Mus musculus: one gene and its partners. The protein of the gene in region 2 purifies or fractionates together with the protein of the main gene of each other region. This does not show direct contact. Links are inferred from orthologs where the notes say so. Each region holds a gene or a part of one and is shown on either strand. Other genes may lie near its edges.

The links.
Region 1: the proteins of Adra1d (region 2) and Utrn purify together in Homo sapiens (tandem affinity purification; 4 studies listed by BioGRID and IntAct, with this or other methods). This does not show direct contact. The link is inferred for Mus musculus from reciprocal best matches to the Homo sapiens genes ADRA1D and UTRN.
Region 3: the proteins of Adra1d (region 2) and Ctnnal1 purify together in Homo sapiens (tandem affinity purification; 3 studies listed by IntAct, with this or other methods). This does not show direct contact. The link is inferred for Mus musculus from reciprocal best matches to the Homo sapiens genes ADRA1D and CTNNAL1.
Region 4: the proteins of Adra1d (region 2) and Dtna purify together in Homo sapiens (tandem affinity purification; 4 studies listed by BioGRID and IntAct, with this or other methods). This does not show direct contact. The link is inferred for Mus musculus from reciprocal best matches to the Homo sapiens genes ADRA1D and DTNA.

Annotation. Positions count from the first base shown.
Region 1 is NC_000076.6:12,732,713-12,736,273, reverse strand, and holds part of Utrn (utrophin), read left to right. Parts: intron 1-1,056; coding exon 1,057-1,176; intron 1,177-2,273; coding exon 2,274-2,375; intron 2,376-3,561.
Region 2 is NC_000068.7:131,559,640-131,563,865, forward strand, and holds the start of Adra1d (alpha-1D adrenergic receptor), read right to left. Parts: upstream 2,859-4,226; 5' UTR 2,530-2,858; coding exon 1,437-2,529; intron 1-1,436. UniProt on the Homo sapiens protein: This alpha-adrenergic receptor mediates its effect through the influx of extracellular calcium.
Region 3 is NC_000070.6:56,862,381-56,866,612, reverse strand, and holds the start of Ctnnal1 (alpha-catulin), read left to right. Parts: upstream 1-1,401; 5' UTR 1,402-1,498; coding exon 1,499-1,636; intron 1,637-4,232. UniProt on the Homo sapiens protein: May modulate the Rho pathway signaling by providing a scaffold for the Lbc Rho guanine nucleotide exchange factor (ARHGEF1).
Region 4 is NC_000084.6:23,414,145-23,418,240, reverse strand, and holds the start of Dtna (dystrobrevin alpha), read right to left. Parts: upstream 2,833-4,096; 5' UTR 2,616-2,832; intron 1-2,615. UniProt on the Homo sapiens protein: May be involved in the formation and stability of synapses as well as being involved in the clustering of nicotinic acetylcholine receptors.

The DNA of each region.
Region 1 (3,561 bases), on a different chromosome or scaffold from region 2:
GACACCAGAAGACGGAATCAGATGGTTTTGAGCCACCATGTGGTTGCTGGGATTTGAATTCAGGACCTCCGGAAGAGCAGTCAGTGCTCTTAACCGCTGAGCCATCTCTCTAGCCCCCCGTTACCTCTTTTCAGAAGAGCATGAAGTGCTGAGTGAGGAACCAGCACATGGTGGACAGTGTGGTTTGGTTCTGAGATGAGTGGTTCGGTTTTTATAGCAGAAGAAAGGTAGAATTTTGTTGATCAGTGAAACATCTAGATAGCTGATACTAAGGCTTTAGGGTCACATGAAACACTACCCAAGAGGCATTTCACCATACTCTTGCTACTGTTTAAACCAATTACTCTCTACAGATGTCTAATGACTGTTCTCTTCCTGTGGAAGAGGGAAGTGAAGGTGTCCATATGCTTGTTCTTGGTTGCTCTCTTGGGGAGCTAATCAGAATAGCTTCTATGAGTCATACAGCCTTTTCCTCATTTTGCACATTATGGAACTACAGAAAATGACCTCTGATTCTATTTGCTTAAACTCTGGGTTTTTAGAGTAGTCAGGTCTACATTTTTGTCTTTTTTATTTTCCAGTGTCTCATTGTGTACCACTAGCTGACTTGGAACTTTCTATGTAGACCACGATGGCCTTGCACTCACTGCGATCCTCCTGTCCCTGCCTCTTTAGTGCTGGGATACCTGCATATGGATATATTTTTATTTTAATTCCTAGAATAGACACAGATTTTCTTCTTTTCCTCCTTTCCTTCTTCCTTCTCATCTTCTTCTACCTCGACTTGTTTTTTTGGGAAGAATTAGGACTGAAAATGGCACACATTGTCACACATTTACAATTGGTTTTGAAGTTGCACTCGCAGACTCTGGCTCCTAATGAAATGTAAGGGTGTGTTCAGGTTTCTTTCTTTAGTATGGTACTTAGGGTAATGGTTGGGAATGGCAATACCATGCCTCATTAGGTTCCTTAATTACTATCGTGAAGAAGCGGATTTTTAAATAGGTAAATGAGGAAGAGCAGATATCATAGTTTATCTTTTCTTTTTTCCTCTAGAGTTTGCAAAATGACCTTGAAGCTGAACAGGTGAAGGTAAATTCCTTAACTCACATGGTGGTGATTGTGGATGAAAACAGTGGGGAGAGTGCCACAGCTCTTCTGGAAGATCAGTTACAGGTAAGACCTTGAGAAGTAGGATGCCCTTCAGATCCACTCTCTGGTCAAGGTCCATGTATTGTTCCTCCTGGGCATCCTTGTTTGTACAGAAGGGTATAAAAAAGTAGACTCCTTTAATCATCTTTTCGTTACTGTAATGAAGGTCCTGAGGCAGGCTACTTGATAGAGAACAAAGTTTACTTAGCTCACAGTTTTGGAGGCTGGCAGTTCAGACAGCCTGACAAATGTTCTCCCTTGGCTATGTCTAATAGAACAGAAACATGTGTATGTGTGTGTTGTGTCTCTGCCTTAATTTTTTAATCCATTAGAATTTATCATGATCGGCCACCTTTGTGCCCTGATTTAGAACCCCCCTAAAACCAAACCAAACAAAACAAAACAAAACATCAGATTTCCCCACCCTAACCAGAAACAAAGCCCATCCTCAATCTGAATTTCCACCTTCTTGATACTATTTATGCAAATCTTTTTTAGTTAAATTCTTGTTTGAATTCATGGTGGGGTGGGGTGGGGTGGGGTGGGACACAAAGCATGGCACCTGTTTTTGGTTGTATCTCCCAGTTAGGCCTCCTCATTGTGTGGTTTCAGGCTTAGCTAGGCATTCCTTGTTTCATTCGAGTCCTTGCAGTGAAGGCATGAGATTGTTATTCTGCTCCCTTGTGTATAATGGTGACAACATTTAAAAGCACCAGAACTCATTCAAGTGACTCCCAGGCTTCCCCCAGAACAGTCACTTGAAGAATTGGTGAAGGCAACCATAGCCTGGAAGGTTTGAAGCATAGAAAGTAAACATGTAGATTGTGGTTGTAGCAGTGGTTGAAAAAAAAAAATACAACAACCCTCAGACACATATACCCAATTTTCAAATACATGTGAAATGTTGCATTCCCATACAAACCTTACAGTGAAGTAGGAACAGGAATTCTAGTTTTTTTTTTTTCCTCATCTCTGAGTAATTTAAGTAAGTCTACCCTATGAAAGTTAGTTTTTTTCTCATATATGTACTTAAAAGTATTTTTTGTAGATTGGTGTTTTGGAAAACTGTAGTAATTGTGTCTCCTGGCTGGGCTGACAGAGACTGCTTCTCCCTTCCCTAGAAACTGGGTGAGCGCTGGACAGCTGTATGCCGCTGGACTGAAGAACGTTGGAACAGGTTGCAAGAAATCAGTATTCTGTGGCAGGAATTATTGGAAGAGCAGGTATGAAACTCAACCACTGTCCACTGAGGACAAAACAGTGACAAGGAGCCCATCGTTTCAGTATGGCTGTGGAATGTGGCTGCCCTCTTCTCTAGTGAGAATTCTGGAACTTTGGCTTCTTTAAAAAACACAGAAATATTATAAGAATATGTTTTTTTTTTATCTTAGGTTGTTCCCCCTCCCCCAGTAGCTGATTATGATTTGCCTCGTGCTCTGGTGGGGATGTGATTTTGCCAGCTGCAGATATTTTCTGTGATTGTGTGGCCTTTGTAATCCTGTGGACTCTTCAGAGGGTATATGTCATAGTCAGGGTTTCTATTCCTGCACAGACATCATGACCAAGAAGCAAGTTGGGGAGGAAAGGGTTTATTCAGCTTACAATTCCATACTGCTGTTTATCACCAAGGAAGTCTGGACTGGAACTCAAACAGGTCAGGAAGCAGGAGCTGATGCAGAGGCCATGGAGGGATGTTCTTTACTGGCTTGCTTCTCCTGGCTTGTTCAGCCTGCTCTCTTATAGAACCCAAGACTACAAGCCCAGAGATGGTTCCACCCACAAGTGGTGGTGACACTGTGGACAAAAGTTGTTAATATCATAGTGGATAAGAAGGAGAGGGGGGTAGAGAGAGAGAATGAGAGGGGAGAGGGAGAGATCCTTAATAGGGAATAGCATATAAACAAAGAAATGTGTCTTGCAATTTAGAAGGTAATGAGTCCAATTTGGTGAGGGCTTCTTTCTGGCTCACAAAGGATCCTTTGTTACATTCTTATCAATTTGTAGAAGGAAAAAGTAGTTCTTGATCACTAATTGAGGAAATGCCTTACAGTTGGTTCTCATGGAGGCATTTCCTCAACTGAAGCTCCTTTCTCTGTGATAACTCCAGCTGTGTCGAGTTGACACAAAACTAGCCAGAACAGTATATAAATCCTGGGGCCCTGAGGGTTGTTGGGTTGTTCTTTGTTGGTGGTCAAGGTTAGTCCTGCACAAAGAAGAAACAACAAGAAGAAATTAGATATCCTGACATCGAAGGACTTGGCACCCGTAATCAGCAGGAAATAGTCTAAGGATAACGTTGACCCCTTTCTGGTCCCTGACTTTGTTCATGGATCTCTTTGCTCTCTCCCCTCTATTCTTTTCTCCCTCCTATCTAGTGTTATGGAATCGAACGAGTTGAAGGCGTAGGTA
Region 2 (4,226 bases):
CAGGGCCCGTGCCCCAGTGAGGAACAATGTCCTCATATGCCAGGCACCGTCCTGGGTGCTGTTCTGGGTTCAGTGACCATACAGTTGAAAGGAAAAGCTGGAAAGCCAGTGAAGGTGTGAAACACAAGCCAAAGGGGCATATAAGTAGAGACCCCCAGGTTTGGAATTAGGTAAGAGGTTTGGGGCCAGTCCAGACTGAAATAATCAAAGGGAAGAACAGAGGTTGGTGACAGGCTTGGCCTGGAACTAACCCACTGAGGGTCAGGGCAGGACAGAGAGAGGCAGCCCTTCCTGGAATAGCCCCTTTCAGATGGGGAGGACATCTGTTGGGGATTCCTTCAGTTCATGCCCATGGTCCTACTGTAAATACTAAATAGTGACCTATTTCGGTATGGACAATAATAACCTTGAAGGCTACCTTCTGTAGACTATGGAAGGCAGTTTTTGGATTTTGTTCCCAAGTAGTATGAGAACATTCAGGGACTTGTAGAAGGGTCACACAACCGAGTTACGATATACAAAAGTCACTGTGGCTGCTGCTGCTGCTCCTGCTGGTGTGTGTGTGTGTGTGTGTGTAGGTGAGAGACTTGCAGTGGATCAGGAGGCAGGTCATTGTTTCTTCCCCTGACTTTGTCTCACAGGTTCAAGCAGTCAGATGGGGGAAAGGGAGGAGAGGCCCTGGTTGCACCAGGAGAGGTTGCAGTCATAAGCCTGAGACAGGCTGCCCCTTTCTCCTCTCTGAGCTGGTTCTGGCCCTTGGGCCCTGCTCCAGGACCTTCAGAGAGGCTCAGGGGGTGCGAAGAATCCCTTGAGAGCAGTTGTACCTGCCCCAGGACTGCAGGGCCCTTGTAAGGGAACTAGTTCACTCTGTAAATGACTATAAACAATAGTAATTGTCCACCTGACAGACTTCCTATCCTGTCCTTCCCACCCCCACAAGTCCCCTCCTCTAACCTCTTCCAGAGAAGATTTCAGAAGGGAAAGCCCACAGGGTTCTCCCAGATACCAGTGGGGCCAACTGAAATGGATGTCTATGGAGAACACAGCACTTCTGGCATCTGCTGAGCTACAAGGTGGCTGGCTGGCTTGGGTCTGCTGCCAGTGAATGCATGTGGGCTCACCCACAATCTATTTCCAGAGATGGGTATCTATGGGGATCACACACACTGATCACATCATACAGATTGATGTTTGCTCAGATTTCCAAGGAACTAAAGCAAGACCGAGGTTTGTAACATCTACAAAGGGTAAGAAAGAGTGAGAAGCCTGTTTAAGGGAAAACACATTAGTATCAAGAACCCCTCGGGCGCGCTCTCTCTCTCTCTAGTAAGAGAACAGGAAGTTGATAAACTTCCACAGTTAGGTTGTGGGTCATCTAAGCTTTCCAGGTAAGGACCGCCCAGAGGGGAAGGGTCTAAAGTGAGGGAATCACTCACCCAGAGGCAGGACGAAGAAAAAGGGGAACCAGCACAGGACGAAGACACCCACGACGATGGCTAGGGTCTTGGCAGCCTTTTTCTCGCGGGAAAACTTGAGCAGCCTTACGGAGAGCGAGCTGCGCAAGGTGTGCCCCTTGCTACTCTGTGTCCCTGGATTTCCTTTGGCGCTAGTGGCTGCGCCGCGACAGTGGATCCTCAGAACCACCTCAGAGGCCTTGCCCGGCTCCCTCTTGATGCCCGCCTCGAGGCTGCGCGTGGTGCTGCGCGCGACCACATACACGCGGCAGTACATGACCACGATCACTGCCATGGGGAGGTAGAAGGAGCATACGGAAGAGAAGATCGCATAGCCCACCTCCTCGGTGATGCCGCAGAAACGCTCATCCGGGGGCACTGGTTCCTTCCAACCTAGTAGCGGTCCCACAGATACCACCAAGGCCACCGCCCAGAGCAGAGCCAGAATGGCAGCGGCCTTGCGTTCTGTCATAATGGCTGGATACTTGAGCGAGTGGCGCACACCCACGTACCGGTCCACAGAGATGGTGCAGAGGCTAAGGATGGAGGCAGTGCAGCATAGCACGTCCACCGCGGCCCATACGTCGCAGAAGGTCCGGCCGAAGGCCCAGAAGCCTAGAACCTCCATAGTGGCTGAGAAGGGCAACACAGCTGCACTCAGTAGCAGGTCAGCCACTGCTAGGTTCACGATGAAATAGTTGGTGACCGTCTGCAAGTGGCGGTTGCAGGCCACGGAGAGGATGACGAGAAGGTTGCCCGCCACAGCGGTGAGGATGAAGGCGGCTAGGAAGACACCCACTCCCACGCCCTGAGCACTCACCACTAGCCCCCCGACGGCCGCCGAGCCATTCACCTCGCCGCTTGCCGCGGCCCCCGCTTCTGCCGTGGAGCTCTGGTTGTCCTCGCCGCTGCCGGTTCCCACCACAGCGCTACCGCCTGTGGCACCCGGCACGCCGCCCACCGCCGGACCCTCGGGGCCAACCGTGCCAGCTCCGCCGCCCGCGCCGGAGCCCCCAGTGCTACTGCTCGCCCGGGGTCCTTCGAAAGTGACGCTCAGGATGTCGCGGAAAGTCATCTCACGGCGCAGCCGTCGGGGCCCGAGCCCAGGCACAGGGCGAGCAAGTGGCGGGGAGGGAGCCCGCGGGCATCGCCGCAGCGCCCGAGCCAGCCCCGCGCGCCGGTCCCGTCGGTCCTGCCCAAGTTCCCGCGGCAGAGGGGCCGCAGGGGAGCGGTGCTGCAGGGAGAGCGGGGCGGAGGTCACCAGGCCGTGAAGGTCCCAACGGGAACGGGCTCTGGCGGTGGCTGCAGAGTCACAAGAAAACAAGGGCCGGGGCCGGCTCCCTGCTCCCTGCTCCCCTCTCCAAGCGTGTCCTGGCGAGCGGTGGCTCCTCCGGGAGCGTCAGTGCAGGCGGCGGCCTCTGCAGCGCAGGGGACTCTGCGCGGGGGCGGGACGGAGGAGGGGCGGCGGGGAGGGAGGAGGGGGCGGCCGGCGCGAGCCAGCGAAGGGGCTCCGCGCGTCCAGCGGCTGCGGGGGTCCTCGCCGGTGCTCACGACCGTCCTCTGCCCTAGCTGTCCCCTTATCCTCCTTTCCTCAGCTCTCCTGCACCCCGGCTTTTGCCCCAGCGCTCCTCGCTGCCTCCCTTCCTCTCTCTGGACTTGCGGTCACTCTCTGCTTGCCCTTGCCCTAGCGGAGCATACAAGGTGCGATTCCCCGGGACTCCGGGCTCCCGGCTTCTGCCGCCAGAGAGCAGCAAGAGCCCAGGATCTGTGGGTTCAGGGCTGGATGATTTAAAAAAAACGCTGCCACTTGAGAACGTCTGGATGCGGTTTGATGCCCCTCCTCTTTTTTCTAGGGCAACTGGCCAGCCCAAGATCTCAAAACCCACTATGGTGCGATGGTGGCATTGAGACAGCCCTGAAGGGGTCAAGATGCTTGGGCGCGGGTTGAAGATGGGCGTGACTGGCGTGAGACCAGATGGTGTGGTCACAGCCCTAGGACTTTGCCCGTACTCTGAATAATACCAACTTTGGCCCTGCAACTCTACTCTGCATCAGAAGTCAGAATAAATCTTCCTGTTGCTACTCGAAGTACTCGGGACTCCCTCTGGGCAGAAAAGGTCACGTTCTGGAGGGTGGGAAAGGTTACTGCAGGGTGCTTAACAGGGAGGGAGCAGAGTAGCTTGCCTCCACCATTCAGGCTCCGGCGTCTTGTGCCTCGGTTCCCCACATGTGAAAACGAGAGTAAGATTCACTGTGTTAGCAGCGCCACCAAAGTAGTGCCCATACTTCTCAGAAGAGTGGAGAATAGTGGGGTAAAGCCTGAACACGAAGAACAGAGGGGAGAGGGGACGGGGCTGTGCTAGGAAGCAGGGACGCAAGGGAAAGAGAAGGGAGGGAGGAGGACCAATAGGGAGAGACACAATGCCACTGGACCACCCCAGGCAACTGTACTTACATGGTGCACATAAACTGGCCTCCTCAGGCAACTGTACTTACATGGTGCACATAAACTCATGTAGGCACACACATGATGTGCGCGAGCACACACACACACAAGTGCAGGCACAAATACATCTTCAAAACACTACCTTTCATTCTTCATCATTTCTTCCTTTCCTTGACTTGGCTTATGGAAGCGAGGCCATAGAGATGCGGGAGGATGCTCTGAAAATGTCATGTGCATGTCCTTGGTGCCTGGTTTATTCCTTGTTGCAGATGGTGGGATGGTAGAAGCAATGAAAGCCTCAGTTGTGTTGTGACATGAGCTTTCTT
Region 3 (4,232 bases), on a different chromosome or scaffold from region 2:
GTTCTTCTAAAGGAGCCAGTTCAATTCCTAACACCTATGTTGGACGGCTGGTAACCCCCTTAATTCAGCTCCAGGAGATCTGATGCCTCTGTCCTTCAGGCACTGCCCTCACGGACACATGCCCACGTGTAGACACACTTTACAAGAAAAAAAGAATTGGAGGATGAGTTGAATTCAGGAGCTCTTTTATACCATTACCGGAGATGCCCATGCTGCTTGGGCAGGTGAAACTGAGTCCTTCAGCTTCCCTTCCAACACTGCAAGCCGAATCCATCAGCCTAACTTGATGAAGAAAGCCAGTCTCAGATTCCTTTTTGCCCCCACGTGTGCTCATTAGCAGCTATGGTCCTTCAAAAATGCTTTATTGTGCTGCTTAGTCAGTCGCTGGGTCCTTCCTAAGGTCAGTGTAGAATCTTTCTTAAGACACAGGCTTCTGAATGCCTTCCTTGGCTTTGTTCCTGGAAACTGGAGGAAAAGGCGCTTTGGCACCTCTTCTCACCACAGGGATTCTGTGTGAGCTCATGGTTGGGCTGAGAGAATGGATTCTTAGCCTTAAGTGACTTCAGTCAGACACATCTTTTCATTCAAGGAGCAGTTAACATGCTGCTAGTTCTTGGCTAATATTAGAAACAATGTTACAAGTTTTTAAAAGGTATTATTTAGCCAGAGCCCAAACTTTTGTTTTTGATTCTCTTGAAGGTGAATTCTAAAGGTAACTGCAAGATACACTGCCTTCTTGCTGAGTATCAAGATATGTGAATATATTATCAAATGTTTCAACTCTGTAAGAGATACAATCAGAACATAGAAGTGGAGGCGAAATGGGACTGTCTTTCCTCGGAAGCCATTGAAAGAAAGATGGTTACAAGTGTAATTGATGTCTCAGTCCCAGGGCAGAGGTTCAACACCATAAAAACATGTAGAAATATTTACGGGAAATCAGAATTGACTTTTGAGGCAAATGGATTTGGTGGAAAGCTTTGTTGGGGACAGTTGTCTTCTGGTAAGAGGCCACATAAACTTGTGGAGGCTCTCGGGTGGCCTGCTCTAGATAAAATTAGGCTTTGGAACTCACCCTTGAGGAAAGAGGCACAGGGGCGGCCAGAGGGCGGGTCCGCGGGGTGGGACTATGGCAGTGGATGGGTGGGGCCGCCCAGGTATTAGGGCGGAGCTGGTGGGGCGTGCCACCCTAGAGGCGGAGCTGATGATCCTGGACTGCTACGCGCCAGACTATGGGTCAGTGGGCGGGACGTAGAGGGGGCTCGGCTAGGGTGCTGGGCAGAACTAGCTAGAGTTGGGTGGCCTCGAAGGCGGGGCCCGCGCGGTGGTACAGGCCTGGGGGCGGGGATACGGGCCCAGGGTCGCATGGAGGCGGGGCCGAAGTAGTGGCACAAGGGTAGGGGTGGGGCCTCGGTGCGGCGAGGCGGCGGGCAACCCGGAGGCTGGTTGGCGGGCAGGCAGAGGTGCGGATAGCGCGCTGTGCTATCGGTGGAGGGCCATGGCCGCTTCTCCAGTCCCGGGCGGTGGCGGTGCGGGAGCTGTCCACTCCTCCAACGCGGCTGGCTTCACCTTCGACTCGGGACTGGAGATCAGGACGCGCTCGGTGGAACAGACTCTTCTGCCCCTGGTTTCTCAGGTACCGCGGCCCCTGGTCCCCGTGTGCGCTGCCCGCGATGGCGGCGGGCGCTCTTTCCTCGGTCCGGCTTGGCGGGGCGGGAGGCGGCGCTGTCCCGCATTGCGCGAGCAAGACGGCGGCACGGCGGGACTCGCGTGGGGGCCCAGAGCCGGGCGGCTACTCCTGGGCTCGCGGTGAAGCGCTGGAAGCGCTGGAGCCCAGCAGGTGCGTTGTTCGGCCTAGGCAGCCGGACCCGCCTGGCCCAGTGGCTCCGAGTGAGGCCCAGCCGCGGGTCAGTAGGACCCCTATGGGGTTCTCTGACTTCCAGAGCCAAGCTGGCGGCCGCTGCTCAGTCGGCCGCCGCTGTCGCTGTCCGCATCGCAGGCCAGACCCAGGCGCTGGGTGCAGACTAAGGCATTCCAGTTTGCCTCTTACTCCAGCGTGTTCTCCAAGGCCTTTGTCCTGTTCCCTTGGTCATGTGTGGGCTCGCCCAACTCCCACCCACTCCGGCCACCTGTCCTGTCTCTCCCTGTCATTTGCCTGCCCACCACCTCTGTCTGCTAGAACTCTGTAGAGTGACAGGAAGGAGTGCTTAATCCTGATTGATGCACACCTTTTGCAAGGTCTCAGTTGGGATTAGTGCATTATTATATTTTGAGTTATAAAAGAAGTCTAGAATCAGCTAGGATGTGCTTAATTAAAAAAAAAAAGTTTGTCTCTCTGAGCTGAGGTATACATAACCCGAGGGCTAGAATTCCTCATCTACAGCTATGGTACTGTGCCAAACACCAAGGGAGGAATTTTGTCTTTGGCTGTGCGTTGGCGATGTGTGACTCATACTAAGCCTGTAACACCTTGGTGACTCATGCCAGGATTACCAAGATTTTAGAGGTAGAAAGAATCTTAAATTATCTTATCCGACTCCAAATTAAAAGATGATTTCTTACAACAACCTCAACTCCTGTCCACCAATGCCTTACATAAACACGTTTAATGAAAGGGAGGTTGTCACTATTCCATAGACTTTTAAATACTGTCTGTTCCAGCCTGGTCGCAAAAATATTTGAAAATTGTAGTTTTATATGCTTCTGAAATTCTTCTAATGCTAATGAAGTAAATATCCCCATTTTCCTCCCTGCATCCTGTGATTAATGGAGCAATGGTGACTATACCTGGCACTCTGTGGCTTTCTGTCTTCCTGAGTAATGCATGCATGCATGGAAGAGCCGCCATTTCCTTTCTAGCACTTACATCTCCTTCCACCCTGGAGACTTCCCCGAACTCCCCATCACCAGAACAACCACACCCCATAAGTGGCGAGGAATGGAGAGAGATGAGAGTGATGGGCTAGAGGCGGATTAGGCTTTACCCATCTCCTTAGTACTAGAAGTTTGCCAGTGCTAACTCATTTAATTCTTGCCACCCCTGAGGTGAGGTGTGGGGTTGTTTCTCTCAGAAGGCAGATGAAGAAGTGGACCGTTAGTTAGATCAGCTAACCTGATGTTAGGAATTTCAACTCTTAAATGCCCAAGAGGGGTTTGAATCCAGGTAGCTTGCCTCCAGTAGTCTGTCTGCTTTTTAGCCACCCCCATGTCCCTTCTAGAGATAAGAGGAGGTGATGTGAGCAGGGCAGAGTAGTTACAAAAAAAAAGTTCCAGTGTAGAAAAACTATCCAGAGAGCTGCAGTCTGAAAAAACAGTAACTTTGTATAGTATCATTGCTAAAACGTTACCAGTACTATGGAGCTGTGTTTTTACCAGTACTATGGAGCTGTGTTTTTTATTCTAAAGCAAGAGAGCAGAAGAGGAAAAGTGTAATTTGCTGCTAAAAATTAACTGGAGGGGAAAAATGCCCTTCCCCGTTTGGTACGTGATGCCTTATTCAGCATCACGGTTGAGGTTCTGTGTCCCACAGTTGTGGCGGTGCCACAGTTCCATGACCGATGTGCATAACGACAGACCATCCTCACAGTATCAAGAGATGCATAAAGCATGGTTAGGGTGCTTGACTGACAAAGTATGGAAGTACATAAAGACAATTTAGACTGATTTCAAAGTTTCACTGAGTTTAAGATATTAAAACTGGAGCTGGGGACATAGCTCAGTTTTTATACATGTGACCCCCAGCATCACATAAGCTATGGCAGTTCATGTAAACTCTGCACTCAGGAAGTGGAGTTTGGGGCCAGCCTGACTCACATGGATCTCTCTCTTCCTCCTCCTCCTCCTCCTCCTCCTCCTCCTCCACGTCCTCCTCCTTGTCATCGTCGTCGTCATCGTCATCCTCCTCCTCCTCCTCCTCGTCCTCTCACCCTCTTATTCTCTTCTCTCCCCCTCTGAGTTTGGGGCTCGGGGTGGGGTGGGGACAGCCCTCTGGAAAACTCACATGCTCAAGAGTTTCTCTTCTATCCGGGCGTGGTGGCGCACGCCTTTAATCCCAGCACTCGGGAAGCAGAGACAGGTGAATCTCTGAGTTCGAGGTCAGCCTGGTCTACAAAGTGAGTTCCAGGACAGCCAGGGCTATACAGAGAAACCCTGTCTCGAAAAACAAAACAAAACAAAAAAAACAAACAAACAAAAAAAAGAGTTTCTCTTCTAAGGATACAGCACTGTTATTC
Region 4 (4,096 bases), on a different chromosome or scaffold from region 2:
CTGACCTCTGACTTCCACACAGGTGCTGCGATGTGCGCACCCCATCCTTCACGCACATACACAATAAAAATAATAAATAAAAGTTTTACAAATTAGAAAGACAAGAGATAACTTAAACTTTAAAGCTCAAAGTTTTGCCCCTTGGAATATGACTATTCAGGCAAATGACTGACGAACACAGTTTCCTCTGGTGGCCTGACTGACTTCATTAATAATGTCAAAGTTTTTGGCCAAGTATATGCTGGGATCTGGAAAGACCAGGTCTTCTACTAAGACAGAGTGAACATGAATGAGCCTTTGCTCATTAGGCCTACATGCGGGCTCCTGTCACAGAGAGAGCTCAAGTCCCCTGCACTTTGCTGAAGGTATTTCTAGTCTGCTACCTGCCACCTTCTCTGCAGAAAAGCATCACCCTAACTAGGTCTCTGTTTACCCCTACAAGGGATTTCTACCACCCATTCCTTTAGTCATTTTGAAATATAAGTAGCTCAAGCTACCCAAACTTGCAGTGAGCCTGCTAACTTTGACTACCAAATGCTGGAATTATAGGTTAGTGCCACCAGGTTCAATGAGTGATTGTCAAGATACATTTTCAACATAAATCGAAGTTATGACATGTATTAAGGAGACGACACTGCGAGTGAACATGTGATGGGAAATAACAGAGACATATCCAATAACATGTGAGGTATAATCAGTAGATACATACTAAAAGGCTACAACCTTCACCATGTCTAAAGGAAGACAATCCAAGTTTTCTACCTCATTATGGAACTAGAAACTTTAACAATGATCCAACAGTGGGGGCCACATATTTAATCCCCCCATTAGTATTAGACATGTTGTTAAAAAATCTTACATGTTAGAAATTTGTACTCTGAACTTTTTCTTTTAACATAGTGAAAACCAAAAAAGCCAAATCTCAATATAGCAAGAAGTAAATCGTGGTGTACCCAAACCAGGTGTATAATGACAGGCGTGTGTGTATATCTCTGCACGAACTGCGTTGTGCTCCATACACTCACAAATTTATGCCAGCCTCATTCTTAAAGTCAGCTGTTAAGGACACAGCCACACATACACTATTACCAGCCTCTTGAAATGACTAGGAAAAATTTGCTAAGTTACTGTCTGCTTATAGGGAATAGAGAATAACTTGCAATTTGTGCAATTTAATGAGTTAATTCTAAGGATCACTAAACACTAACTACAATTTCAACAAACTGCCTAAAAACTCTTCTAAGGATAAATATTTCTAACAAAATACTTAAGTTTCCAATCCACAAAGGACAACATTAAAACACTCTTGACAGGTTCTTCCTCCCAGACAGGGCTTGGGTACTGAGCCTCATCATTTCTTAGAAACCTTGAAGGAGGGGGAAGCTAAGGGGGTAACTGGTACACCAGGCTGTGCTGACCACTTCTGGACTCTGCTAATTTCACATTTTGTTTGTCCTTGCTCTGCTGCGCAGCAGTTCTAAGTTCAACTCTGTTCTTACAATGCCTACCTTTTTGGCTTAGAAGAGTGACTAAGTGACATACTACATCACTTTTTATTATCAAAGTTGTGTGATAGAAGCCATATTAAACCACTCATTGCTTGCATCTATTTCAGTCTGGTCTATTTGGCAGAGCAAACCCAGGCTAGTTACACGGAACCACTCTTCAGCCCCACATTCTGTCAGGGGAGCGTCAGCCTGCTTATTTTCCCCATATAAAGGAGAATATCCAATTCTCGCCTTGTACTCGGTGACTATTATGGACAATATTTATTCAGAAGGAATGCTGTGTGAGTTTGGAAAAGCTGTCGCTAAGAGGAGAGGGAAAGGTCGCTTGACCAAACAAGAAACAAAACCTATACATGGGCAAAACATGAGGAACTGAAGTTTGCCTTTCTCCTTGTGATGGAGCATTTAAATAGCCAAAACACAGCGTGGTGATTGTAAATTTAATGACTTTCCCTCCCTCCTCTTCTCTGGAGTTCTTTATAATCAGAACGCCCCCATTCACTTAGCAGATACCAGCTCTTTTGGAGAGGTATTGCTTAGAATTAATGAGGTAATGCCCCAAAACAACTGCTATTTATACATTGTCTTCTCTGATAGAGGCTGCCTGCGTTTTTTCTGCCACCTCTTCAAAGATGGGGTTCGTTCTAATGGTTAGAGTACCACAAGAAAAGAGCTCTCTCTCTCTCTCTCTCTCTCTCTCTCTCTCTCTCTCTCTCTCTCTCTCCCCTTTAAAACATCTTATCTTCATCATCTACATTTGAACACAGTGCCATCCCAGGGAAGCTGTGCTCCATTTTACAGTCTTCTCCCGCATAATTCCTAACTCCATAAGCCTTAGGTGCTTGAGGGTTAACGGCAAAGAACAAGCCTACAAGCTTCTTTCAAGTTACAACTCTGAAATGCAAACTTGAAACAGCCTCACACAGGTACTGGGTTTCTTTCTGCCACTCAGAATGCCCAAGGCCACCTACTTCCAGAAAGAAAAGCAGCTTCATCCAGACACAAGGAAATCTCCCCGATCGATCTTTCATTCATACCAACTACAAAGCCAAAGTCAACATCCACCTTTCCAGAGATGCACCTCCAAGTACCAGTGTTCTCACTTACCCTGGACCAGGTACAGCATCCTTTCTTCAACCTTTTTAGTTCCAGTTCATCTAGAGCACACAGTGATTGCTATCACGTTCATGGGAGAACAGATTTAGCCAATTGTCTAATTACCCCTGAGATCATAACCAATTCTGAAATTCTAGGGAGAGACAGGAGTTTAAAAACCCGGCTTCCAGTTTCTGGCGTCCACTGTGTCTATCTTTAACTTGAAAACGATTTGGTTTCACATTCCACTGAAGTCCCACTGGCAGATGCCTTTGGTAAACTCACCAATGGCAGGCTTTCAAAGGTCTCCCTCGGCCCCTCCCTCCCAGGGAGCTTCCGCCCATTTCTTCTAAAGCTGGTTTACTCAGCTGTCCTTTACCTGTATCCTCGTGTGTAAAAGGAACTGCGTTCATTGAAGGCTATTACAGAAACCTTTGCAAGCTGAAGATCAGCTGAGGACTCGCTGGCTTCCCCTGCCATCACCCCACCCCCACCTCACGGACAGAAACCAACTGACTTCCAAACTTGGCTGCCTGAAAAAGAATGTCCTCTGATTGGCATTCCTGGAGGCAGAGAGCCAGGCAGCCAGAGCTTGGCAAATGGCTTCCCCGGGGAAATACAGCACAAACAAGGAACTTTCCTGGATTTTATTTCAGTTTAAGGAAACTCCAAAGACTATGTTCAAATTTTAAAGATATTTTGGTTGAAGTTCACGCTTATGTTTTTTCTACCTGGTTATCATTTTACCCAGAATAACTAGGGCTACAGAGAAAGAGCAAGATAGCAAAACTATAATTGAACATGGTATAAACTTTGTTTGGGGACCCATTAGAAAATGAAAAGAGCCACAGAGGCCACTTTACAGTGTGCTAAGGACAACAGGCCAATGGGTGGACTTCCTGAGAAAGAAAATAATGTTATAGAACTGACTTCATTTGGCTTTTGTTTTATACTCCGAGCTGCAAGGGAAGAACAGGGGAGAAACACTTGCTTTTCCCAGGAAGCCTTCTTTTTTTCAGGGTTGTCTTATAACACTTTAGCACACGCTGGGAAACAAAGTGTGTGTGTGTGTGTGTGTGTGTGTGTGTGTGTGTGTGTGTGTGTGAAGGGAAACTAAGTGTCCTATTTTGCTTTCTATTGCTATGATAAACACAACTGTCCAAACCGATCTGGTGAGGAAAAGGTTTATTCGGCTCACATGTCCCAATCAGTCTGTTTTTGAGAGAAGTCAACGCAGGAACTCAGGCAGAAACCTGGCGGTAGAGCTGCTTACTGGCTTGCTCCCCATTCCTTGCTTGGCTAAGGAATGCCAATTGCCTTCTTATTTAATCTAATACTAACTGCCCTGGGAGGGCACTGCCTACAAGAGTTAGGTCCTTCCACATTAATTCTTAGTCAAGAAAATGCCCCACAGATTTGCCCACAGGACAATCTTATGGTGAAATTTCCTTAGTTGACATTTCTTTTTCCATGACTCTATCATGTGTCAAGTT